4 linked regions of the Saccharomyces cerevisiae S288C genome follow. Changing the gene in region 4 together with the main gene of any one other region gives a genetic interaction. Each region holds a gene or a part of one and is shown on either strand. Other genes may lie near its edges. The genes, in order: FKS3, UBP11, AUR1 and CYS4.

Region 1 (8,180 bases), on a different chromosome or scaffold from region 4:
GATTTAAACAACATTGTTGAGATTTAGCTGTGTTTGTTGTTTTTGTTTTATCAGACTTTAAAAATAAAAACTGATTTTGAAATAGCTTAATAAAACGACACAACTATTTATGGATATCTAATTTGTTCGAGGAAAACAACCACGACTTTTCCTCTTAAATAAAAAAATCCGTGTCAACAGTAGTAGAGGGAAAAGTTTTTCAAACCTCGAGGATTATCGGGTATTTTACTAATAAACCGCGCAGGCTGTATGAGGAATACCAAAAGTAGAAATTTCTCATTATTTTCCCGACTTTTCTTTTTCCCATCTCCACGTTTGCGGCACGAAAACTCAGTGTAAAATAAGAAGCAAACAAAACGCGAGCCGCGAAAATATATCGAACTAAAAGTACGCAAAAGAATAGCCAGGGCTGGCCTGTGAATTCATAAAAAGTCTGAGCCGGCTATGATAGGCACCAGCTCGCTTTATCAGCTACTCAAAATAACTTTTTTTTTTTATCCCTATGCGACAGTCCTAAAGGTAGGTAAAGTTGGTGTTGTAGTCAGGATTGTCGATGGAGCATTTGGACCAGTATCGTTGTTGTTTTGGTTGTTAGGTTGGAAGATTCCTTCGAAAAGGGTGCCTTCCAGCAATTCTTGCGGACTAGATACGAAATCACCAGCAAAGAATGGCGCGATGAGCATAAAAAGGAGCACACCTAGCATCACAAAATATAGAGAGAAATATTTTGAAACTATCCTACTTCTTAATGCTCTCTGCTTTCGAGTCAAAATTCTTTTATGCGCGATAATACTTCTTGGATTCATCCAAAATAGCACCATTGTATGCCAGTAATCGATAAATGGTAACAATATTATGGGCGTTTGTATAAATAAGAGGAAGTGACCAAGAAAGAAATCTGCTGCAAAATAACTAGATTCCATAATCTTCACGAAGTATTCTCGTATGGGCTGTAAAATGATAGACCAGCCCATGCCCGTATTGTACCATTTACCATTCCACCATGCCAAATGTGCCTTATTGTTTTTATACTCCCTTGTCAAGAATATCGTCGTAAAGACCTTGAAAAGAATCAGATGCATATTGATGCACGTAATAAGCAGTATCAATGTACGGGTAAAGTTCCAACCTTGTAAGAACCACATCAGTTCGAAATCTAAAAGATAGACCAAAACCGAGAAAGTGTGTGCAATAAACGCAATCACGGCACCTGCGTCTTTACAACAATATGACAATCCAGGAACCACAAAAAGTGAAACCCAAAATAATAGAAAAAGCACTATTGAGTTAAGAAAGATTGGCAAAAAAGTTACGAGCAACAAACGGAAAACAGCGCTAGTTGGTGTTGAGTCAGAGACCCCTGTTTGTGCATTAATGAAAGAAAAAGCGGTGAAGTTGAAGAGGAACACACAGAAAGGTAGAAATAGTTCTGCAAAGAAGACGTTCCAAAACCTCGCTTTCTTTGAATCATGGCCTGAATCTTCGGAAATATCATCTACAGTTTTACTTTTATAGCCCGTAAATCTTGATCGAGAACTCTTGACAAAGTTTGCCCACGATTCTTTTTGATATTTCGTGTTACCTGAGAATAACCAGTGGATAAAGGTTTTATAATCAATGAAGAAATCCATGAATGCGAACTGATGTGGATTGAAAATAAAAGGTGCGAAGCACATCGAAATGACTGTAATCCAAAACCATAATAAGGCGGGTTGCCACATGGAAATAATCGCGAATAATAACATGAAGAACACTTGGAAACCAGAATATATCGATATATTAACAAATCTGGAATAGAGCGTAAAAAAATCGAGGCGTGTTATTGCAAACCCACGACCTGTAGATATGTACTTTGCTCCCCCAAAGGTCAAGTCCATCAATAGAGAATTCGAATAAACTTGGCAGACGAATACTTCAAATAATGGGGCCATTGAAAGAAGATGATGTAGGAACCTTGAAGCTGCTCTCCAAATACCCTTTTCCAAAACTTCTTGAATCAGCAAAGGGGCAAAGGCAATAAAGAAAACAATGAAGATTGATAGTACGAATATCGATACCCAATGCAATGCAGGCTGAATATTATAACAACCAACGGGTGTCTCAAGATTTGTAATTGGTGCATCCTTGTCGTAAAAGCAGGCTATAATTTCATGGTTCAACGCACCCAAGTTTAAAAGCAGAACGAAGAACAGTTGAACCGAAAAGGAAATAAAAAGATTATTCAGATGGAAACCAGGATGTGCATAAAAAAACGATAAAAATCTATCCATGGGAAGTTGTGTCCCCAAATAATAGTACTCCCTTGATAGTAGCTGTTCCCCCATACCTGCACCTATTTTAGTAGTGAAATTCAGGATGGACCCAAATCCCAAATCTCTACCCTTACCACATTGGTAGTAATCACTATGTTTTATCTTTCCACCACGGCAGATTGCGTTCATTCCAGCATATATATCCTCGTTTAAATGCAATCCTCTTTGTGCCTTAGACAGGCCACCACGAGTGGTCATAAAAATGCCATTGAGAAAATCGGGATGCCCATAGTGCAATTTACCACCAATTTCAGCCAACGTTCTAGCAAATAAGGTTCCAAAAGTCTGTTCTTTACCTGCAGCAATATCACCTAACACTCCAATATTTTCTGAAAAAATATACTCTCTTGAACCAACAATAGCGATGGGCGGTGGTTCTTCTTCATATTCAATGCCAGGAATGTATGGGATTGTGGGATTAAGCTCAAGCTCTTCGAACTCACTTAAAACAGACCGTATCTTTAGGCATTCCTCCAAATAATTATCTTGGTTTGCATCAATCACCTGAATATACTCACCACGATAAAATATAATAGAATGGTTCTGATTATCCGATTTTCCATCGCCAAGTATTGGATTGCCCGACAGGCGAATTTTGAATATTGGCTTCCTTAATCCACTTTCTTCGTCAAACTCAGCATAGCCATTAGTCAGGCACGAATAGTACGTTTTCTCAGATTCATTTTGCTCTAATTCTTCCAAAAGGTAAGATATAAACATATTTGGATAGGCTCTTAAAAGTAGTTCTGTTGCCTCCACTTCATCCTTATTAAATTTTGCATATCTCTGCATAGCAACAACCATCCTAAATTTCCTGCTAGCCATATTTTCTAAGTCATTCTCCAATGCTTCATTATTGCCACGATACAAGCTAACTAAAGAGGGGTTTTCAATTCGATACAGTAGCTTAATAGCTTTGGAATAGTTCATAAACCCTGAAAGGGTTCGGTACAAAGTCTGCGTCCGCAATGATGCCCAGATTCTTGTTCTCAGGGTGTACGATGGTTCTGATGAGTTGAAGCCAAAGTAAGAAAATGGCAAATCATTAATTTTCTCCTTAATAAGATCGTCTTCTGTGGGCAACTTCCGGGACTCAGTATGGTCAGAAAGCGGGCTAGACCTTGGATCGTACAGAGCATCCGGAATTTCCAATCTATCTTCATCATGACTGCTCTCTGCCTCTTTCAAAAAGCTCTTTTCCATGCTTAGTAGTTTGGTATCCTTAACAAAACATTCCCATTCTGTAGGGTGTAGATGCTTCAAATACTCAAGCACCGTGATTTTACTTTTAGGAGATTCTTCCCTGATAATTTCCTTCAAGCCCAACAGAATCTTTTCTGAATAATGGGGTACCAAAACGGTAAAAGTTGGCATACAATCCACTGGAACAGGTTCTGAAATGGGGGTCGCCAGGGATTGGGCAAAAAAGGATATCCTTCTTTTTGCCTCTGAATTTGATGGAAAAAATTCCATTGACTTGAACGTTGAATCATCTTGTGCAACGAAAAATGTAGGCGATTTCAGGGTTCTTGTGTCTCCCATTAAGGAGTCAACTTGCTGAAACAAGAGTCTTTGTAAATGTTCAATGGAGAGAAGATGTTCCCTATACATTGATATAACAATGGCATTCCAAACCTGCGATATCAGTATTTTTGCTTTAAATTTTACATCCATCTCTGAAGTAGCAAGGATTTTGGAATATATCCTTTTTGGCAATCGAGAGTATACATTCTTCCATGGCGTGAGAATTGAAGTACCAAGAGAAAATGACAGTACAATGGAAAAAATACAGTTGCAAATAATGTACCAAAGGTAAGTGTCGAGAAAAAACAGGCCCAAGTCAGAAAGCAGCATGAGAACTAATGTAATTTTGGCTTGCCATTTACATAGAATAGGACCCAACAAATATTCACCTTGACATCTGGACAAATCCATAATAGAGAGGACCCTGATGGGGTCCCTGAGGGACAAGGTCAAAAAAAAATAGGACTCAATATATTTCGCCAAATACACAAATACCCATAACCCATAAGAAAACCATTTGCTGCGTCCTGTCAGCTTAGGAAATGAAGCGGTAAAGGTTTGCGATGAGATGTACCTCCGATGTTTTTTGTCTTTATTCAAATATGGACGAAATAAGCCGCCCAAAGGTCTGACAGCAAAAAAAAAAGTGGTTAAAAATGCAATGATTAGTTGGACGATGGACACGATATACGCAGATTTTGAATGAACATCCCATTCGAAAAACCCCAGAACATACACGGAAGGTCCCAAATTGATTGCAAGACAAAAAAGTAAGCCAATCATTCTACTCGATAAATGCTGAGCGCCTGGCCATTCTCGAGGTACAAATCCCCACTCGAACACGGTGGCTAAAATTTGAACTAAACATGCAATTGTGCCTCCAAAGGCAATCACTGATAGTCTAACTTGGGGTGTAGGCTGGTTATTCAATAACTGTATATAATTCTTGGTGTACAAAGTGGGGGAATTAAATGTGGTGAAGAACCAAAACGGTGCAAAATGGATAATCCAGAATCTATTGAAATTGGTAAAACAATGCTTCCAACTTCTGGTTTCTCTATATGTCTTATAAAATACTTTAGACCATGCAACGTCTTTAAAGTAAAGATATCTCTCCTCCAATGGCTTGTCAACTAATCGTTCTCCATTGTTTAAAATAATACGTTCAAATCCTTCCGGGTACCAAAATAATTGATTGATGTCGTCGTAACCAATAATATTCTTGTGGTCTTTTTCTCTTCGTTTCCAGTTCCCCTTTGCGTCTTTTTTGTATACTTGGCCCCTTAGGAATTCGTATAAGGGAGTAATAACGTCATTTAAGTATGAATACTCAGGTGATTTCACCGTTTTTTCGCTACTTGACGTACTAATATCATAATCAAGTGCACATTTGAAAATAAAGCAAAGGCATTCTGGGGCGAATCTGACTTGATTGGCTTCACCCCAGCAAAGCAAATAAAGGGCCAGCTGTCTTATCATATTTTCGGGCGTCAATTTTTTCATTTTCAATTTCCATTTGTAGTCTGCACTTTTCAAGTTTGTCTGATCTTCCAATTGTTCTTGAGTCAGTGTGATCTTTGGATGGTTATTGATGAACTCTTGCTCCTTCTCATTCCATTGCTTAATTTGTTCCTTTATCGATACGCCTCTTTTCTTCGCCATTTTTACGTTTCTTTGGCGTGCCTTTCCATGTAGTCGCATGTTTTGAAACCCGATCTCTTCATCTAAATCGAGCTGAGCGGCAAAATACCATTTTCTATAATTTGCGTGTTCGCCTCCAATATATGAAACATGTAGCGATACTAAAGCATTTTGAGCACCTGTACGACTTGCCCTGGAGTCCAGCTGTCCCATTAAATGTTGATACATATTTTCCATAGAAGATTTCTGGAAGCCAAACTTATCCATGAGCTCCACAAAAATTTCTCTAATTTCCTGCATTGTTATTGGGACTTCATCGTCTTGGCACCAAGCAGGATACTCAACGTCAGTTAGCGAAAACTTGGGACTCATAAAATCCATATTCAACTCCTTAACTTTCCTTCTCAGTATGTTTTTCTTTTCCCAATATGCAGTTCCACAGCCCTTAATGATTAAGTTGTATAGTGGCAAATCCTAGAAGGCATAATTACTTTTGAAGGTTCTCGCCAAATAGCCGCTGACCATGTAAAACTCTTACCCGCATAATTTAACCATCATTGCCGCACTAGGCAAGATGGTCCGATCTTGATGGGCGAGAATGATTAGTTCAGAGACGTGCAACAGCCATATACGAAAGCTGTCTCGGCCTTCACTTATGCTGATACCAGGCACGGTAATAATTAAGAAAGAATGCCTCCCTCTTTCTTTTTCTCAGGCAAGACATCTAGATTTTCTTTTTATCTAAGCCCTCAATGACAAAAATATTTGTTCCTTACATATCCCCAGAGATCTTCGGTCTAGATTTCGCGAAAGACCGTTTGCAGTAATTTACCTTTTTCGGAAAAGTCCTCGAAGATTTCGGACGAAGTAAAACCTGAAGAGAAAAATGCCAAGACTTTTAATTGCGCGAAACAGCGGACAAAAAATTCGCGTTGAAACGTTTGAATATGGTAACAAACGTCGCACGCGTTTGAAAGTTATTCGTGTTTTCATGTGTACAGTAACTTCTCCATCGAGAGCCGTATCCATAAGCCTTCTTTTCCACGTTTGTTTCAAAACTGTAGTATTTATAATGGAGGGAAAGATGTCTGCGTGAAGTTTGTCTTACAGTGTATCTTTGAAGCGTGCATCATATTTTTCCCATTTTAAATTCATCTATTATATAGGCCCAAATAAAAGAGTTAAATACTATACTTTTGCAATATTGAGCTGAACATCCAACTGTCACGTCTCTCCTTTACTATTACTGTTCTTTTTTTCAAATTGTCAAAAGATAGTATTAACGCAAAAAAAGTCTTCATTCCATTATGCGTTTTTCAAATTTCCTAACTGTATCTGCATTATTAACCGGAGCTCTAGGAGCTCCTGCTGTTCGCCATAAACATGAAAAGCGTGACGTTGTTACTGCCACAGTCCATGCGCAGGTTACTGTTGTCGTTTCCGGTAACAGCGGCGAAACTATTGTTCCAGTGAACGAGAATGCTGTTGTAGCTACTACCAGCAGTACTGCAGTTGCTTCTCAAGCAACTACATCCACTTTAGAACCAACAACTTCCGCTAATGTCGTCACTTCTCAACAACAAACCAGCACTCTTCAATCTTCCGAGGCAGCATCTACGGTTGGTTCTTCGACTTCATCCTCACCCTCATCCTCATCCTCAACTTCATCTTCAGCTTCATCCTCCGCTTCATCTAGTATCTCAGCCTCCGGTGCTAAGGGTATTACTTACAGTCCTTACAATGATGATGGGTCCTGTAAATCTACTGCTCAAGTCGCCTCAGATTTAGAACAGTTGACTGGTTTTGACAACATCAGATTATATGGCGTTGACTGTAGTCAGGTTGAGAATGTCTTGCAAGCTAAAACTTCAAGCCAGAAATTATTCTTAGGCATATATTACGTTGACAAAATTCAAGACGCCGTTGATACTATTAAATCTGCAGTTGAGTCTTATGGCTCCTGGGATGATATTACCACTGTTTCTGTCGGTAACGAACTGGTCAATGGCGGTTCTGCCACTACGACGCAAGTCGGTGAATACGTTTCCACGGCCAAGTCAGCTTTAACCTCTGCTGGTTATACAGGCTCAGTCGTTTCCGTTGATACCTTCATTGCTGTTATAAATAACCCTGACCTGTGTAATTATTCTGACTATATGGCTGTCAACGCCCATGCATACTTCGATGAAAATACTGCGGCCCAAGATGCAGGACCATGGGTACTAGAACAAATCGAAAGGGTTTACACTGCTTGTGGTGGGAAAAAGGACGTCGTTATTACCGAAACTGGTTGGCCATCTAAGGGTGATACTTACGGCGAAGCTGTCCCATCTAAAGCAAACCAAGAAGCCGCCATTTCTTCTATCAAAAGCTCCTGCGGCTCTTCAGCTTACTTATTTACCGCCTTCAATGATCTATGGAAAGATGATGGGCAATACGGTGTTGAAAAATACTGGGGTATTCTATCAAGTGATTAAACCACTGAAACTTCATTTACTTTATGATCATTCTTTTTCCCTTTTTCTTAAAAAGCAGCCAAATATGGGGGAAATAAGCCCTTTCCCATATTTGCTCTCCTATTCTTATCACGTTATTGTTTACTTATGTGTTTTGTGTAAAGTATATATTCTATACTCATTTGTGAAAGATTTTTCAATTTGTCTTCCTTTTAGCTACGGGTCCTCGCTGCTCTATAGTTTGTGT
Region 2 (7,519 bases), on a different chromosome or scaffold from region 4:
AGCCAATCCCTTGATGTACCACTTGAGGCTTGGCACCATCATTTTCAGCTGACTTTTCAACTGGAGGATTTGGATTCGTAGTAGCCAAGGATCTTAACGTTTCCCAAAAATCCAGGCCGTCTTCATCTCTCAATGGAGTATCAGATCTGGATGTAGTCCTTGATATCTCCGACTGATCAATGTGATTGAATTTATTGGTTGTCACAGATGATGAAGAATGATGCTGAGATGATTCACTTTTTCTTTTTTCTTTTTTCTTAGTTTTACTGCCGTTACTTCTTACTGAATTTGGAGATGGATTGAGTAACTTATTCAAGTCAGCACCTCTTGTCGCATCTGATGAGCCTAAATGAGGCCGTATAGTTGGTGGCAAATAGTTGAAATGCGCTATTCTATTAGGACCTACATCAGGTGGCATTTCTGAACCGCTCGTTGTATATGATGCCGTCGAACTTGGTGCCTTGCCATTTGTTCCATTGAAATTCGGTGACATACTATTAGCACTAACGTTTCCTTGAATGATTTCATTATTTGTAGCGGTAGAATTAGTTGGGATCAATGTATTTGCTTGAGGATAAAATACAGACGGGCTGTTTGTTTCTCTATTGCTTTGTGAACCAAGTTCATTTGCATTGTCAGCGGGATTGTGTGAAGTTGCTTCCAAGCTGAATGCGTTATAGTTGGGTGTTCTTGATAAAAAATCGCTATCCATGTTGTCCAGAGAAGTCCTATATTCTGGGTTAAAAGTGTCACTATTTGAATTTAACCCTGGAAGACCATTTCCCAGTTGTCTACCCATATGTGGGAAACTATCCATTAATAGAGGGTTTCCATTTATATTTCCTATATTTGACAATCCAGTATTGCTGCTGACAGGATGGTCTGTGGATGTAACATAATGATTGTGAATATGTTGATGTATCGAAATTTTTAAAGAGTACTTCTTAGCTTGGTCAACCAATTCTTTTACTAATTTTGTGCTGTCAATAGTTCCGTTAGAAATTGACAAACCTTGACCATCTTTTAATGTAAATTTCCATTGTGTGCTAGAGGAATTTGGTTCTCTAGTTTTCACAGTAGAATAAGCATGCTTCGGAGAATCTGAAATACTATTACTATTCATCATATGCTCATCGAGAGATGCTGGATTGAATGCTGGGGGAAGGCTTGTCTGTGGGCTATCTGAGATTCCTCCAGGACTTTGCTTGTTCATTTGAGAAAGACCTTCAATTGGTAAAGATACTTTGCTCCTAATGCTACCACTGGTATGAGTCTGACCGACTTGCGTCATCCTGATTGGTGGAGGTGCAGATATCTCTTTTAAGGGAGGTAATGCTTGTGGCTTGCTGTCATTTAAAATGGGTCCATCATTATCCTTTAATCTTGGTAGTTTGCTCGATTCGTTCTCTTTAACATTCAATATATCCTGCTTTATCAATGAAGGGTTGTTCTGTTGAGATAGCTGCAACTGTTCTTCTTTATTCGGTGTAGAATCTGAGCGTATATCAGAATCGGCGATTGGATGTTGTCGGAGTTTTCCGTCTGTCATGTCTATGTTCTTGTTTTCTTTTATAGCCTTTGTTATTACTTCTGATGCTTGTCCTCGCACAACCATAGTAATAATTTTCCGCCATCTGTTCCTGCACGTTAAACTTGGTCTGAATTCCATTTCCGACGAAATCTTTCTCCATTTCGTGCCGTATGCCTTCACTTTACTTATCAGATTTAAATCTTCCTCGAGCGTCCATTCTCTTAATCTACCTTTACTTCCAGGTCCCAACACTTCAATGTACCTTTTCGCACATTGATCCTCTGTTCTTCCAGGGATATCCATGGAGATACTCAGCCAGTGAGGCCCATGTTCTTCATAAGCTTTCAAGAGCTGCTCATCCTCTTCTTGTGTCCATTTACCTTTCTTCAAGTTTGGGTCCAGAGATCCTGTCCAACGCTTTCTTACATCCTTTGAAGTTCTTACGGTGTGTTTGAATCGTGTAGCTAAAACATCCCAAGCAATACATTTAGAAAGATGGTTGGATTGTTGAATTGTTTTTACGTCTTCAAGTCCATTCTCATAGCCTAACTCCTTTGCGGATTCGTTTACTAGCGATCGTAGCATATTATCGTCGTCCTTTGACCATGAATTTCTTCCATTTTTCCTGTGTGTCTGATAGCCAAGTGATTCAGTCACTTCAAGTAAATCGAAGCCGGATCCTCTTTTTGGCTTACTTTTTCGTATATCTTTGGTACTTATATTCGACATTCTCGATAAAATGTATTCTGCGATAAAAAAAAAAGAGCAAAAACGCTACAACAAAAGTTTTAAACAAAACTAATTTTGTTTACCCCACTAGAGATCAACAATTGTTGCAGAGAACGATTCAAATCAGCAAACCGGATTATCAGAAAGCAAATAATTAAACACAAAAAACGTACACTAGTCCTTTATAGTAAACTAATAAGAAAAATTTCTTATTATATAAATATAGCTGGTTAATTTCGATTGCTTTAAAGTTTCCTGGGGCTTTATTCTGTGACTGGACCCTATTTCTTCTAAAGGTCTTAACATAATTACTCATTCTCATTTTTTATTTTTTTCTTCGTCTGGCTCATCGCATTGTTCGGACCAAAAAAAAAAAAAAAAAGAAAAAAAGAAAAAAAAAAATAGTTTCTCCGTTGCACATCGTCAAAGGTGATTTCCCCACATCTATTATAAAGTTTTTCCGGAGTGCTTAAAAAAGGGATTGACATTTCTTCGAGAATTAGTTGAGAAACCCTTTTAGATTGTGCGCTGAGTAATCATTAGGTTGATTATAAGCTCTGAAAGGTTACTGCTACTGCTAGTAGTCTTTCAGGATCTTCAGTAAACTAAATAACCGTGGCATTGATCTTACTTTCCGTTTTCTTTTCGCTAAATCGGAAGTCATAAAGACAATGTTATTAAACCCAGATCAAATTCTAAACCTAGTTCGAAAAGTATATGAAGTAGATATTAAACAGTTTTATTCGCAATTACGGCTAAAGAACTTAAGAGGATTGTTAGACCATGCTGCTCATCTGTTTAATGTTTACCTGAGGGATTTAGAAATCAATCAGGAAATGGAAGCTTTGACAGCATTTATTATTGGTTGTTATTATCTGTACCTTATTATTCCACAATCGTTACAATTCCAAACAAGAAATAATCTCTACAGCAGTTACGCAAAGCTAAAAAACGACTATCAAGACGAACACGTGATGGGTTATGTGTTAAAAGTGGTAAGAGATGAAAGTACTGTTATTGTTGACCGGTATTTAGCGGAGTCAAACGGAATTTGCAGGACCATAAAAAGAAAAAGAGCCTACTCCTTACCGCTACGGCCTTTACCTGTTCATATGGCCTCTTTGTCAATACATAACAAGTTTGATGGCTCACTACATGAAATACCGAATGAGCTAACAAAACCAACAAATGATAATTCGAAAGAGGACATAGTCAGGGAAAGTAATCAGATAGCATCAAGTAATAAATTGGAAGCTGGTTCTGAAGTGGCGTACTACACAAGCAAAGAAGCATTATCAAAACCCTCGTATTTAAAACTCAGTACTGGAAAGGATGCATTATTCAAAACGCTGTCTAGTCCAGCAACTGCTCCCCCCGTGCACTCCTTGGAGGTTTCGTCACAAATCAGAGATTCTAGCCAAGATTCTTCATCCTCTTTATCCAAGGTGGAAAAGCCAAAGGAGGAAGAAGGAAAGATCGAGGCCATAGAATCTTCGGCCCCGAAAGCTTACAATCTACCAGTAATTGAAGATTCTAATGATCTGTTATCAGAGTTATCTATTACTGGCCTGCAAAATCCATGCAATACATGCTATATTAACAGTATAATTCAATGTCTGTTTGGCACTACCTTATTTCGGGATTTGTTTTTAACCAAGAAATATAGGCTATTCCTCAATACTAACAAATATCCGAAAGAAGTCCAACTTTCCCGCTCGATTTACGTTTTGTTCAAAAAAATGTATTTGAATGGAGGAAGAGCGATTATACCAAATAGATTCTTAAAAATGTGCAAGAAGTTAAGGCCAGATTTGAACATCCCAGATGATCAACAGGATACACAGGAATTTCTACTAATAGTTTTAGCACGAATACATGAAGAGCTCTCGAACGAAAATGTTGTCAAGTATTATCCAGATCTAGTGTCATATGATGCGAATGCTTTACAAGTTAACCCATCCAAATACGAGAAATGGTACGAGAGAAATGTTATTACTGATGGTTTATCTCCAATTGATCACATATATCGAGGGCAGTTGGAGAACATTTTGAAATGTCAGCGCTGTGGTAATTCTTCTTATAGCTATTCTACCTTCTATGTTCTGTCACTTGCGATTCCAAAACTATCATTGTATAGCTTTACAAGTAAGTCGAGAAAAATTAAATTAGAGGATTGCATAAACTTATTTACAGGCGATGAAGAACTGTCAGGCGACAATGCTTGGGATTGTCCTAATTGTAGAATTACTGATTCTAAATCCAAAAAAGAAGAAATTACTAGCCAGAAGAAAAAATCAACCATATTCGGTTTTCATTCCAGATCAAGGTCAAAATCACCCCACCATCATCACCATCATCACCATAGCAGCGATGATTCAACAAAAAATGCAAAGAAGCGAAATTCTAAAAAGTTAACCACGATTAAGAGTTTAGACTTTATAGTTTTACCTCCGATACTTGTCATTCATTTATCAAGGTTCTATTATGATTTAACAAAAAAAAACAGCACTGTAATAACCTACCCTTTGATATTGAACATTATTTTAAAGAACGGTAAAGTGATTCGATACAAGTTATATGGAACGGTGAATCATTCCGGTAACCTTATCAATGGACACTATACTTCTGTTGTGAACAAAGAAAAGAGCCATGAAATTGGACTGAATAGACAAGTTTGGGTTACATTTGATGACGATTATATACAGCAACATCGCAAGGATCGCAACAACTTTGAAGCCGGCAAAACAGAAATGTCTAGCGATGAGGTATACGTCTTATTCTACGAAAGAATGGATGAAGAGAACTATGAAGAAGAATTCTGTTAATTGCATCGGATTTTTGAATTTTCCTTATGTATATACATAAATATGTTTGAAAGATTAATTAGAAAAACATGTGCTTGTTGATCCAGTTTCAGTTATTAAAAAAAAGCTGAAATGGGAAGAGAAAAAATTGACAAAATAATATATTACGAACATTTATGATGTCGAAATAATTCTAATTCTTTTTTTTTTTTTTGGATTGAACATATCGAACGAACATGTTTCGTTTACTCGAATTGAGGACCAGCGGCTAATACATCTGGTGTGGCTCTGTCTTGATAAATCTTGAAATTTTGAACAAACAAGTTGGCCAAGTTGGTAACTGCACCTCTGTATTTGGATTCACCTTGAGACCAGTTTTTAGCAGGATTCAAAAGCTCAGCTGGAACACCGTTAACCTTGGTAGGTACTTGAAGATTGAAAATCGGTAAAGTTTCGTACGTTTCATTGGCTAACGAACCATCATGAATAGAATCCAGAATGGCCCTTGTGTACTTCAATGGGCAACGTTTACCACCAGATACGTAGGAAGAACCAGTCCAGCCGGTGTTGATTAAGTACGCATTAGCTTTATGTTGAGACATCTTTGTAGCTAACATGGTTGCGTATCTAATAGGGTGCAAGGCTAGGAAGGGTTGTCCGAAACAAGATGAAAATGTTGGTTCAGGTTCAGTGACACCTTGCTCAGTACCAGCCATTTTAGAAGTGTAACCAGAGATGAAATGGTACATGACTTGTTCAGGAGTCAATTTAGATACTGGTGGTAAAACACCCGAAGCATCACAAGTTAGCAGGATAATGTTCTTTGGATGAGAGTCCGCCAAACATGGAATCTTGGCACTTGGAATGTAGTCAATTGGGTAGGCACATCTAGTATTTTCAGTAATAGAAGAGTCGTCATAGTCGACTACATGCGACTTCTCGTCATAGATAACGTTTTCTAATACAGAACCAAACTTGATAGCGTCGAAAATTTCAGGCTCCTTTTCGGCAGATAAATTAATACACTTGGCGTAACAACCACCTTCGATATTGAAGACACCATGGTCGGACCAACAATGTTCATCATCGCCGATCAACAATCTATGTGGGTCTGCGGATAAAGTGGTTTTCCCGGTACCACTTAGGCCAAAGAATAAAGTAACGTCACCGTTTTGAATACCCTGGTTGGCGGAAGAGTGCAAAGTTAAAACGTTATGGTGCACAGGCATCAAGTAAAACATAACTGTGAAAATACCTTTTTTCATTTCACCGGCGTATTCGGTACCTAAAATGATCATTTCCATTGCTTTGAAGTTAATTTCTATAGTACTCTTTGAAGACATATCCTGGGTGTGTAAATTGGCTGGGAACTGACCAGCGTTCCAGACAGTAAAATCAGGTTCTCCAAAATGGGCTAATTCTTCTTCTGTAGGTCTAATAAGCATATTTGTCATGAATAAAGCGTGGTAAGCCCTGGCACAAACAACGCGGACTTTGATTCTGTATTTTGGATCCCATCCTGCAAATGCATCGACAATATAAATGTGGTCTCTTGTTCTCAAGTAATCTGCAGCTCTTTCACGGTTGATAGACCATGTTCTTTCAGAACATGGTTTATTGACCGGACCCCACCAAATTTCGTCTTTCGAGGTAGGTTCTTCAACAATACGTTTGTCCTTTGGAGATCTTCCGGTTTTAACACCGGAATAAGCGATCAATGCACCGCTTGATGAAATGACAGTTTTATTTTCTTTTAGACCATCTTCATACAAAACGGCAGCTGGAGCATTGCGTCTGATGGTGGTGACTTCGTCACTAAGAGCCAATTCTTGTCTGATTTTTTGTTCAACTTCGGAAGTAGATCCTACTGTAGCATTCATTTTAGAAGGGGACATGTTGTTATTTTATTATGGAATAATTAGTTGCGTGAGTTTGGTTTTTTTTTTTTATTTTTGAGTTAAACAAATATAATTATTGTTTAAGCTGAAATAAAGATATATATGTATATCTGGGAAAGGCTGTTGGTTATCTGTCTTACTTCTGTATATTTAAGAAGTAAGTAGAAATACTGATTACACATGGAAGAGAAGTTACACACATTACAAAGACTTCTCTGCCCTTATATACCTTTTTTTTGTGGTCTTCTATACTCTGCCCAATGTTGCTATCCCCAGCCAAGCCTTACTTAATACACAAACGTACCATTGTCCAACCAGAAGCGTCTAAGCTTTACAATCCTGTTTGGGCCCTTTATCCGCCTATCCATAATGTTAAGCAGCCTAAAACTTGCTAGTCTAGCCGGCATCTTTCCCTTGTATAACTTAAAATACCCGGAGCTTCAGTGATATGTAGAACACAGCCGCGCCGGATGAAAGGAAGCTCGGTTTTTTCCTATTGTGAGTCAAAAAAAGAAAAGAGATGTATCCAAATTAGGAAATCCAGATCTCCATTCACC
Region 3 (3,674 bases), on a different chromosome or scaffold from region 4:
TCTATCTTTTCGCAGTTATCATCTAACCCGGAAAAGTTTCAACAAGACTTTAGCCTTTTAATGGAAACTCCCACTAGTTCAGCTTAAACAAAATAGAAAAGCTTCAACAGAGGAAAGAATAACGCAAAACCACCCTTTTCACTAAGATGCTTTATGAGCTGATCGGACTTGTTCGCATAACCAACTCCAATGCGCCAAAGTTGGAAGCAAAAGAATTGTCTTCCACAATCGGGAAACTGATTATTCAAAACAGAGGTGTGGTGAGGGACATTGTACCCATGGGCATAAGGTATCTTCCTAAAATAATGAAGAAAGACCAGGAAAAACATTTTCGAGCATATCACTTTTTAATGCTGTTTGATTCATCAGCTGCGGTACAGTCTGAAATTCTAAGAACTTTAAAGAAAGATCCCCGTGTCATAAGATCATCCATCGTTAAAGTTGATTTAGATAAGCAGCTGGATAGAGCCTCATCGTTACACCGTTCTTTGGGGAAGAAGTCTATTTTAGAATTAGTGAATGAAGATTATCAATCCATTTAGGTATAGCGCACAGGTTTTGACTGGGGACGCTACAAACACATGTAAATACATACATATCTTTCATACACATATAATAAACAAAGCAGGAAGAGCATTCTAAAAGCCTCACTTAACATAGACACCATTAAAAGCCACCCATTTATTTCAAAAATTTATAAAATTCTAAAGATAATCAGTGGTATGTGATTAAATAAACTACATGTATATTATGCTAAACGACAATCCTGACTAAGAAAAAGAAAGAAAAAGATATATATTTATATGTATCTACATAAGACCAACCGTATCCGTAATTGCAGATAAAATACTCATTAAGCCCTCTTTACACCTAGTGACGTTATAGACGTGGCGGACGAACGAGAAACAGAAGTAGATCCATCAAATAACGAAGGGCTTACACTGGGTTCATCAGTCATATTAAGATCAAAGTCAAGTTCCAAGTTGGACAAAGGGACACTTTCGATATCGTTTGAATCTGCAGCCAATGGATCACTCTTTGATATATCGTATTTCTCAATTGAAGTGTATGACCATCTGCAAAAAAGAGATGTATCTACAATTGGTAAATGTGTGTACTTTGTGTACTGGAAAATAACGTATGACAGCACAGAACCTGCCATAAGGTCTACAAAATAATGGTGTGTCAGATACATAGTTGACCACCATAACCAGCAAACATAAGCAATAAACAAGGGCTTCAATTTTGGAAAACAATAACAGAAAAACAGGGCTTCCATAGTAGCACACCCGGAATGCAGTGAAGGAAAAGCACCGAAAATGACGGAGGAATTTGAAAAAGCTGTAGTATACATATTAATACCGAGTAGCTTATCAATTCTAGCTAATCCACCAGGCGAGCCATGCATATCATAGTTGGCTGATTGCAATCCATAGAGAATTTTATACCATGGGGGAGCGGCTGGAAAGACATTTTGCATGATAACACCAAACAGGTTCATATAACCAAATGCAAAAGCATAACCTTGCAAAACAGTTGGTGGACCAAATACGAATAAGATGGCAGCAACGACAAATGGGGCCCCAAAATGAAATAGTCCGTACGGTAACCATGCTAAAATGTCCAAAAAGGAATTCGTCGATGTTGCAAGAATATCACTTAAATTGTCGCCGTATAAAATTGTTTCCACCGCTGGTAACACTTTGACAGTAATAGGAGGCCTGCGGTCATCTGGAAAGTACGATGAAGTGAAATACAGCGCCACCCATGTTAGGATGGGCAAGGCATTGAAGAAAAACTGTGACGTAGCTGGAATGATGAATAAAGTGCCCAAGAAACAATAAAAAAGGATCTTGAAGATCCAAGGTGCGGGATTAGTAATGAACACAAACAGCATGATGGATCCCAAGAAGATGTAATGCACCCAGTCGCTTAAAGCGGGTTTGTATTTTTGCACCTTCAACAACGTTTGATGGGGATCTAAACTTGTTTCTAAATCGGCTACATGGCAGTTTGGAGGTCTCTCTGATAGAAACCATCTCGAAAAAGGGTTTGCCATACGCAAAGGAATGATTAAAAGCTTTTTAAAATATGAAAACCGCAACCTGTAGGATATAAAATAAAGTACTTTTGGAGAAAATTCAAAGATCCTTGGGCCAAAAGCTATACCCAAAGTAGCTCAGTGTGAAAAAGGAAAAGGATAAACTTATGAAGTACTTAACAACAACCAAAAGTGAGCGATCGGACTAACCAACTACCTAAGAGATGTAGCAGTAGAAATCCTACTCTGTTGGTTCACGAACAAAAGTCGCTAGTGTTCTTACGCTATGGTAACTGAAGCAAAAAATACGCCTCTGCAGTAGTACCAAATCAGAAAACCACTTTGTAACAAATATGAACACTGATGGGCACTTTATTATTCTTTGACAGAAAGAAATAAAAAAGCGATGACCCGCCAAGCAATGAAGTTGATATTCTTTTGTTGTGGTTTTTTTAGCTCATTTTTGTTTTTTCCTTTTTTCAGTTTTAGGATCACTCTTCACGAATAACTTTTCATATCATTTCTGGGAGCTGGGGAGAGATGGATACTATTTCACAAGACATGCAAAGGGATGCCCAGACTGCAGTTTGGCCAAAAGGCTTGCAATGAAAGAGGATAGGTTGACGAGATCTTAGTATTTTGACTTGTTCTATACACAGGGAGCTATCGATTATCCTAGGTTCTCTTTTACTTTTAGCTTTTATTTAGTTTAAATTTATTATGTCTGTCCGTACTTCTTCAAGATCTAATAAGGGTCAGAATAAATATATTGAGTATTTGTTACAGGAGGAGACTGAAGCACCAAAGAAAAAAAGAACTAAAAAGAAAGTTGATTCAGCCATAGAGAAGAATAAGAAGTCTGATTCTTCTCAGGAGCCAAGGAAAGATACTGAAAATGTAAGAACAGACGAAGTAGACGAAGCGGATGAGGGCTATGTTAGATGTCTGTGTGGGGCGAACAATGAAAACTACGATGCTGCAGAATATTCGCATGGCGACATGGTACAGTGCGATGGCTGTGACACTTGGCAGCATATTAAATGTATGACTGATGGTAAAGACACCATAGATGGGCTAATGAGTGAAGATTCTAAGTACTACTGTGAATTGTGCGACCCATCATTGTATGCACATTTGGAAACGTCAAAGGAGGCAGAGGTTTCAGAGGATGAAGATTACCATGATGATGTTTACAAGCCCGTAAATGACCATGATGACAATGATGCAGATGTCTTTCTTGATGAGGAAAGCCCTAGGAAACGAAAAAGGAGCCCCGATAGTGCCAAAGGAATTCATATCAAATCCAAACAGGTGAAGAAATCCAATGGGTCAAAAAAAAGGAATAAAAGCATTGATGCCGCCAAGTCTGATACTGCCGAAAACGAAATGCCTACTAGGAAAGATTTTGAAAGCGAAAAAGAACACAAACTGAGGTATAATGCAGAAAAAATGTTCTCTACCTTATTTAGCAAATTCATCGTTCCCGAAACAATTGAGGCAAAACTTTATGAGCTTCCTGATGGGAAAGACGTTATATCGATATCGCAAGAGTTTGCGCACAATCTGGAAGAAGAACTTTACAAAGCTTGCCTTAACGTCGAGTTTGGTACTTTGGACAAGATATACACAGAGA
Region 4 (7,289 bases):
ATGACGGCCTGTTCTTCTTCTGGGATCTGTCATCAATTTTTTTCCTTCGTTCTTCGTTCTTCGTCTTCTCCAGTTGTGAGTTTTCTAAATATACCTATATATAAAATAATAAAATCTAATCAATGCAACGTGTTTGACAGTGACGTTTACAGATAGGACGACCGGATGAGCGACTGAAAAAGGTGCTATTATGAATGCACGGTTTCGCAAGACCTCAAACAATCGTACTAGTATTTCTGAAATTCTGCTTTACTGCCCGACCTTTCCAACATGTCGCTGTTTTTTTGTTTTTCTTCAGAGTCGGGTAAGAGCAATAAAGTGAAAAGTTAACAGATTCAAACACTGATGTGATGCATGCATGATAAGGAATTTGTAAAAATAATAGAACAATGCTGCTTCGTATAGGCGCTATTTAATTAAGTAGTTATATAAAGAGAACGGTGCAATTGAATAGGAAAGGAATGACGGATTTTGCTTCTATGTTTGCTTTTATTTGAAGCGTGGGTTCTTATTTATGCTAAGTAGCTCAGTAAATCCATCTTAGTAACGATATGGATTGGTTTCAAGCCATCAGTGATAACGGCAGATGAGTTTTTTTCAAAGAAACGATTCAAGTCAGATAGCTTTGAGTTTTCATCGAATTTAATAAACTTCTTCTTACCGGATTTATTTTCGTTGTAAGAGGAAACATCATTGAAATTGTTTAATTTCTTGAAGTCCAAGTATTTACCCTTTATAGTGTTGTCGTTGTTTGAATTATTGATTGATAGTTTTCTTAGAAGCTCAGAGAGAGTAACTAAACCAGACAACTTGCCGTCTTCAGTCAACACAGGCAATTGGTCAAAGCCATTGTCTTTTAATATCTTGATAACATCAGTGACCTTAGCGGTTTCCTTAACGGAAACAACCGGTTTCAAGTGAAGATCCTTTACAGTAGCGTTACCAAACACATCAGCGTATTTTGTCGTCGAAGCCTCCAGCTTTGAAGAGTCAAAACGGGCCAACACGTCATCATCCCACAAATTGTTCTTTTTCAACCATTCGTCATCGACGAATTTGGTTAGGTACGACCTGATGGAATCTGGGAATATGGCAACAATGACATCATCTTCAGTCAGTTCAGGGTGGTCTTCACAGTATTTCACAACCGCAGTGAAGGCAGAACCGGAAGAACCACCCACCAAGACACCTTCGTTAGAAATCAATTGTCTGGCGTATTTGAAAGAAGGCTTGTCGTCTGTCTTATACCAAACATCAATTAATTTTCTGTCCAAAACCTGAGGAACAAAATCATAACCAATACCCTCAACTTTGTAGTCAGTGATATCAGTCTTATTCAAGTTTTCAGGTTGGGCTAAAATTGAACCGAATGGGTCAGCACCAACGATTTGGATCTTATCATTCTGTTCTTTCAAGTACTTGGAAATACCGCTAATAGTCCCACCAGTACCAGCACCAGCAACAACAGCGCGTAGATTATCAAATAAATTCAAGTCTTCTAGCTGTCTTTGGATTTCGCGACCAGTACCAAAGTAATGAGCTTCTGGGTTCATCATATTGTTATATTGGTCAAGTATAACAGCACCAGGAATCTCTTTTTCCAACTTCTTAGCAACACCAATATGTGATTCTGGAGAATCCCAGGCAGCAGCAGTTGGAGTTCTGATGATTTCAGCACCCAGAGCCTTTAGGACAGAAACTTTCTCGTTAGACATTTTTTCCGGCAAGGTGATGATAGTTCTGTAACCTTTGATGGCGCCGATTAAAGCTAGACCGATACCGGTGTTACCAGAAGTAGGTTCGATCAGAGTAGATCTGGAAGGATGAATTCTACCGGAAGCTTCAGCTTCTTCCACCATAGACTTGGCAATTCTGTCTTTGATGGAACCACCTGGATTGTATAGTTCCAGCTTAGCATAAATTTGTGGTTTGATACCCAAAGCCTTAGGCAATTTTTTCAGTGCGATCAATGGGGTGTTACCAACTAAGTCGATAACGTTATGTCTTGAATCGGCTTGCTGCTCAGATTTAGTCATTTTTATTCTTACGTCGTATTTATCTAGATGTCCTTTGAGCAAGTGGCCTACAACGAAATCTTCAAGTGTTGCCTTTTACTTTGGCATAGAAGCATCACGACATTTATATATACAAGCCTGGTGAAGTGCCTTGCGTTTACTTTAACCTTTAGGAGAAAAAAATTTTCGGTGTTGGTTTCTTTTTTTCCTTTCGGTGCAAAACTGTGGAGGAAGATGGCAATAAATTAGTGAAACGGTAATGCCGTGTGGACTGCATATGCCGGATATAGCATTTATCAGTCACGACAGAGCTGATTATCCTTACTTGGGTGAAGTTGAAGTTGTTGTGATAAGGTTAGAATGCAAATGAAGCTTTGTCAGCGCTGAGAAAGAAAATTTTGTTTTGTGAGCCACTACTATCACGTGCCATTACCATTTTAATCAGTTATGAAATAGGGGAATGTGTCATTGAGGGAAAATGTAATGGCCACCAAATGAATCAGAGGGTCGGATGAGAACACACCCTTACTAACTGCTGTTCATATCTCACAGTTGCCATTGATAAGCTCTGGTGGGAAAATACCCTTGATTTTTGGTAGCACATATTGACATAACAAAAGTCTTGACTTTGCCAATTGGAGAGATGGCCACTTATAGAGGAAAATACTCGTAAAAATAATCATAAACAGTAAGCCATGTCAGTATCTTACAAGGGAACAATTTCTAAGACACATTCTGTTTTTAAACCAGAAAAAGGAAGGTATTATATTTACGGGGCCCTTGGGTGTCCATTCACTCATAGAGCCATTCTTGCCAGGTCTTTGAAGAAATTAGAACCTGTTCTAGGGCTTGTGTTATCTCACTGGCAATTAGACTCCAAGGGTGCCCGTTTCTTACCTGCTCCACACCGGCCGGAAAAATATAAAGAGAGATTCTTTACTGCCACTGGTGGCATTGCTTCAGCTAAATTAGACGAATCTGAGGAGTTAGGTGATGTGAACAATGACTCTGCAAGGTTGTTCGTGGATGGCGCTTTCGACCCGGTGGAAAATATATCAAGGTTAAGCGAGTTGTACTACTTAAATGATCCTAAGTACCCCGGTACAAAGTTCACTGTGCCTGTTCTGTGGGATTCTAAAACAAGGAAAATTGTTAACAATGAGAGTGGCGATATCATAAGAATTTTGAACAGTGGCGTGTTTGATGAATTTATCCAAAGCGAAGAAACGAACGTGATTGATCTAGTTCCGCATGATTTAATAGACGAGATTGATAAGAACATCAAATGGGTTCATCCGAAGATTAATCTTGGTGTCTATAAAGTCGGATTAGCAGAAAACGGAAAGATTTACGAAACTGAAGTAAAAACACTGTTTGAAAACTTGCAGAAGATGGAATGTGTACTAAAAGAAAATTATAAGCGCTTAGAGGAGCAATTCAGTGGTAACAAACAGAAAATCTTGGCTAAATATTTTGTTTTAGGACAGAGGTTAACTGAAGCGGATATCAGATTGTATCCATCAATAATTAGATTTGACGTCGTGTACGTGCAGCACTTCAAATGCAATTTGAAAACTATAAGGGATGGTTTCCCGTACCTTCATTTGTGGTTGATTAATCTATACTGGAATTACGCAGAGTTTAGATTTACTACAGATTTTAATCATATTAAGCTCTTTTACATCAGGATGGAAGTAAGTAGGAACAAGATCAATCAGTTTGGTATAGTGCCATTAGGCCCAAAGCCTGACATTTCTAGATTATGAAAACTTCTAATATTTTCTTACACACACATATATTTATATGCATGGCTATACTTCAAAAGAGGTTGTCACTTCCATTTCCATGTAGGTAAAACTCGTGTATAGACGGAACACAGACTTCCCTAGTTTTATTGACTTCATAGTCTCTGCACCATTCAATTATGTCTCTGTAAAAGAGACTCTTCTTTATATCGCCCTTTTCTATATTCTCCATCTCCAGTTCTTTGAAGCATTTTGCTTTTCTCGATTTATGACAACCACACGGTTTTACACTCTCCTCTCCATGTTCTACCATTTCATGCCTCCAGTCAAAAAATGGTTGACTGTATTCCCTACTTGAATCCATACTTGATTCAACAAGGTAGTTTCTCGAATTCTCAGGTAGTACTGCCACCCTCCTTAAACGTTTCTCTCTTTGTCTTGCTTCCTTTCTTTGTTCTATTTTTGGCGGAATGGTAAATTTCACAGGATTCTTGGATCCATTCTCATTTTCATTCAAGGCATTTAAGTCCAAGGAAAATAACCGTATGCTCACGTTGGACCCTTCAAACGTGAAACTATCTTCACTCAATATACTTCCTACACCGCATTGTTCCTCGTTACTACTTGAATCCTGTATATCTGAGAGAGAGGTAAAAAATGAGTAGGTATCTCTTTCCCCCTCACATTCGTAAGTGCCGACTTCTTTATTCAAACAGGCCTTTCCCATTTCTCAAAGACCTCTTTTCGTAACCTATTTAGTAATGATGAAAAGTATTAAACAGTATTTTCAAGATAAGAATTTTATTATTTTGTACCATTTACGATACACATAAACCCCAGAAAAAAACAACTTTATGGGAAAAGGCGAATAGTACTCATAATATACAAGGTAAAAGCAGGCGTATCTCAGTCATACAGTTCAATAGAGAAAGGCATTTTTGGAATATCATACATTTTATCTAGCAAGTGGAAACAGACTGTATATTCCCAAGAATCATCGCCTTTTTATCACAACGTCAGCCTCACAACTAATTCGCGTCAAAGCGCATTCATCCTCGACATTCTCAAACGCGAAATATCGTCGAAAAAGGTTAAAAAGAAAAGAGAGAAGGACAGAAAAAGAAAAAAGTAAAGTAGAGCTCGATCTCGAAAAAAAGAACCATTGCGTTCGTTCTTAACTACGCCAAGAAGTTTTTGAAATTTCATCCTCTCCACTGAACAATAATACTATTATTTAGTAACGATATAGAACATTTACATACAACGTTCTAATATTTTGGCTTCTATCATCGCTTAGAAATATTTGGCTAGGAAACATTAGGACTAATGAGAGACTATAAATTAGTAGTATTGGGTGCTGGTGGTGTCGGTAAATCCTGCTTAACCGTGCAGTTTGTACAGGGAGTTTATTTGGATACGTATGATCCAACGATCGAAGATTCTTACAGGAAAACCATCGAGATCGATAACAAGGTATTCGACCTGGAAATTTTAGATACAGCGGGTATAGCACAATTTACTGCAATGAGAGAATTATACATAAAGTCAGGAATGGGGTTCCTGTTGGTATATTCAGTAACAGATCGGCAATCTTTGGAAGAATTAATGGAGCTAAGAGAACAGGTCCTTAGGATCAAAGATTCCGATCGCGTTCCAATGGTTCTAATAGGTAACAAGGCTGATCTAATCAATGAAAGGGTAATAAGTGTGGAAGAAGGTATAGAGGTAAGCAGTAAATGGGGTAGAGTTCCCTTTTATGAAACAAGCGCTTTGTTGAGGAGCAATGTGGATGAAGTGTTCGTTGATTTAGTTAGGCAAATCATTCGGAATGAAATGGAAAGTGTTGCAGTTAAAGACGCAAGAAATCAAAGTCAACAATTTAGCAAAATCGAGTCTCCATCAACCAGGCTCCCTAGTTCTGCGAAACAGGATACGAAACAATCAAACAATAAGCAATCATCAAAAGGTTTATATAACAAATCTTCACAAGGACAAGCTAAAGTTAAACAATCTACTCCGGTTAATGAAAAGCACAAACCGTCACATGCCGTTCCGAAATCTGGTTCTAGCAACAGGACAGGAATTAGCGCTACTTCACAACAAAAGAAAAAGAAGAAAAACGCTTCCACTTGCACTATTCTATAGTCACTTAATTTTATTATAAATGAATCAAGATATCAGATAAAAAGACTTTACTTGAAATAGTTTTATTATAGTTCTAAAAGGTTTAGTTTAAAGTATTAGCATACGTTGTATAAGTTTTTAAAGAAATCAATTAATAATGTTTGAAAATAAATTTAAACCCAAAAAAAATGAAATGTTAAAAATATGGACGCAACCGGAATCGAACCGATGACCTCTTCCTTGCAAGGGAAGCGCGCTACCAACTGCGCCATGTGCCCGCAATCTATGGGATTTTACGGTAGATGCTGCGTTACGTATAAAAAATATTAAATGAACAGATCCACACTCTCGTAACTAAAGCTCACACTGTAGTTTCTTATAGTTTATGTTGATTGATATAATTAATTCAGAGGGTCTTTAGTCTCAGATATACTTCGCAATTACTTAAAAGAGTAATCGTTAATGTTTTCCCTCCAACATAGTCGTTATCGTTTAGCGTGCGTTATCAAGTTTCAACGATGACAAAATGATTGATTAATTAGTCCATTTTTCTTTCCTATCTAGTAAAATCAAAGTGTTTCTTCTCAACCTGAGATCTAACTCACTGTATTGATATTGAAAATCTGAGTAGTCTTCTAAAAAGCACAGAAATTAGGCCGATGTTTTCGACTTCATATCTCGTCGTGAGGCTGTTTCGCACGCCTTTTATTTGTTTAGATCGGACATTTAGGGTGATTCATATCAGGTCATATTGCGGCATCTCATCTCAAGAATAAAATAGAATTACTGTGTTTGACAATGGTCTATCGTCCACTGATGGAACAAAAGTCGGGAGCAATTCTTGTAAATGGAAGAATACAAAATGGCCACCAGTAGCGGTGAAAATGGTTTAGTAGTCATCCCTCCTTTAATACGAAACATTCAGTGGGTCTCCGTGAACGTCTCTATTCTATTTTCGATAATCGATCCACTGACTCTCAGGCGCTTCTTATATTATCTTTCTCGATATTATAAATCAGCCGATACAGGGTTACACCAAGTGTCTTTACATAATCCTGACTATCATGACCTACTTCCAATCTTATCATCTAAATGACTGTACATTCGTTCTTCTCTCATAATGCTTGCTTGCTTGTGAAAAATGGGTGAATAATTGCATTATTGTTGGGATTCCACTGTTGATAAAGATCACATATAACATTATGGATAAGGAATATACTAGAAACTCTCCTCCAGAACATAGCGCCCACAAAAGGGAATCGATATCTCTACATAATGCTATTATTTTTTCTTCCTTGTCGCACATTATCTTACTTCATCATCAATCCTCGTGTCTCTGCTTACATTAAGTTTGATGACCGTTTCTCAATCTTTATGACATCTTCTTACACAGTGTATTGCAAAG

Evidence for each region.
Region 1: mutations in CYS4 (region 4) and FKS3 together harm fitness more than expected from each alone (negative genetic interaction), as found in Saccharomyces cerevisiae (one large-scale study listed by BioGRID).
Region 2: of CYS4 (region 4) and UBP11, changing one suppresses a phenotype caused by changing the other (phenotypic suppression), as found in Saccharomyces cerevisiae (one study listed by BioGRID).
Region 3: mutations in CYS4 (region 4) and AUR1 together harm fitness more than expected from each alone (negative genetic interaction), as found in Saccharomyces cerevisiae (2 studies listed by BioGRID).

What each region holds. Positions count from the first base shown.
Region 1 is NC_001145.3:878,837-887,016, reverse strand, and holds FKS3 (putative 1,3-beta-D-glucan synthase), read right to left. Parts: upstream 5,859-8,180; coding exon 501-5,858; downstream 1-500. Other genes in the region: 1,3-beta-glucanosyltransferase GAS1, read right to left, coding at 1-14; SCW10 (putative family 17 glucosidase), read left to right, coding at 6,785-7,954. UniProt on the Saccharomyces cerevisiae protein: Required for spore wall assembly.
Region 2 is NC_001143.9:630,592-638,110, reverse strand, and holds UBP11 (ubiquitin-specific protease UBP11), read left to right. Parts: upstream 1-2,931; coding exon 2,932-5,085; downstream 5,086-7,519. Other genes in the region: BAS1 (Bas1p), read right to left, coding at 1-2,260; phosphoenolpyruvate carboxykinase PCK1, read right to left, coding at 5,310-6,959.
Region 3 is NC_001143.9:433,965-437,638, reverse strand, and holds AUR1 (inositol phosphorylceramide synthase), read right to left. Parts: upstream 2,060-3,674; coding exon 854-2,059; downstream 1-853. Other genes in the region: mitochondrial 37S ribosomal protein bS6m MRP17, read left to right, coding at 147-542; BYE1 (Bye1p), read left to right, coding at 2,762-3,674. UniProt on the Saccharomyces cerevisiae protein: Catalytic component of the inositol phosphorylceramide synthase which catalyzes the addition of a phosphorylinositol group onto ceramide to form inositol phosphorylceramide, an essential step in sphingolipid biosynthesis.
Region 4 is NC_001139.9:793,290-800,578, reverse strand, and holds CYS4 (cystathionine beta-synthase CYS4), read right to left. Parts: upstream 2,037-7,289; coding exon 513-2,036; downstream 1-512. Other genes in the region: cleavage polyadenylation factor subunit PTI1, read right to left, coding at 1-33; GTO1 (omega-class glutathione transferase), read left to right, coding at 2,711-3,781; YGR153W (uncharacterized protein), read right to left, coding at 3,834-4,487; Ras family GTPase RSR1, read left to right, coding at 5,087-5,905.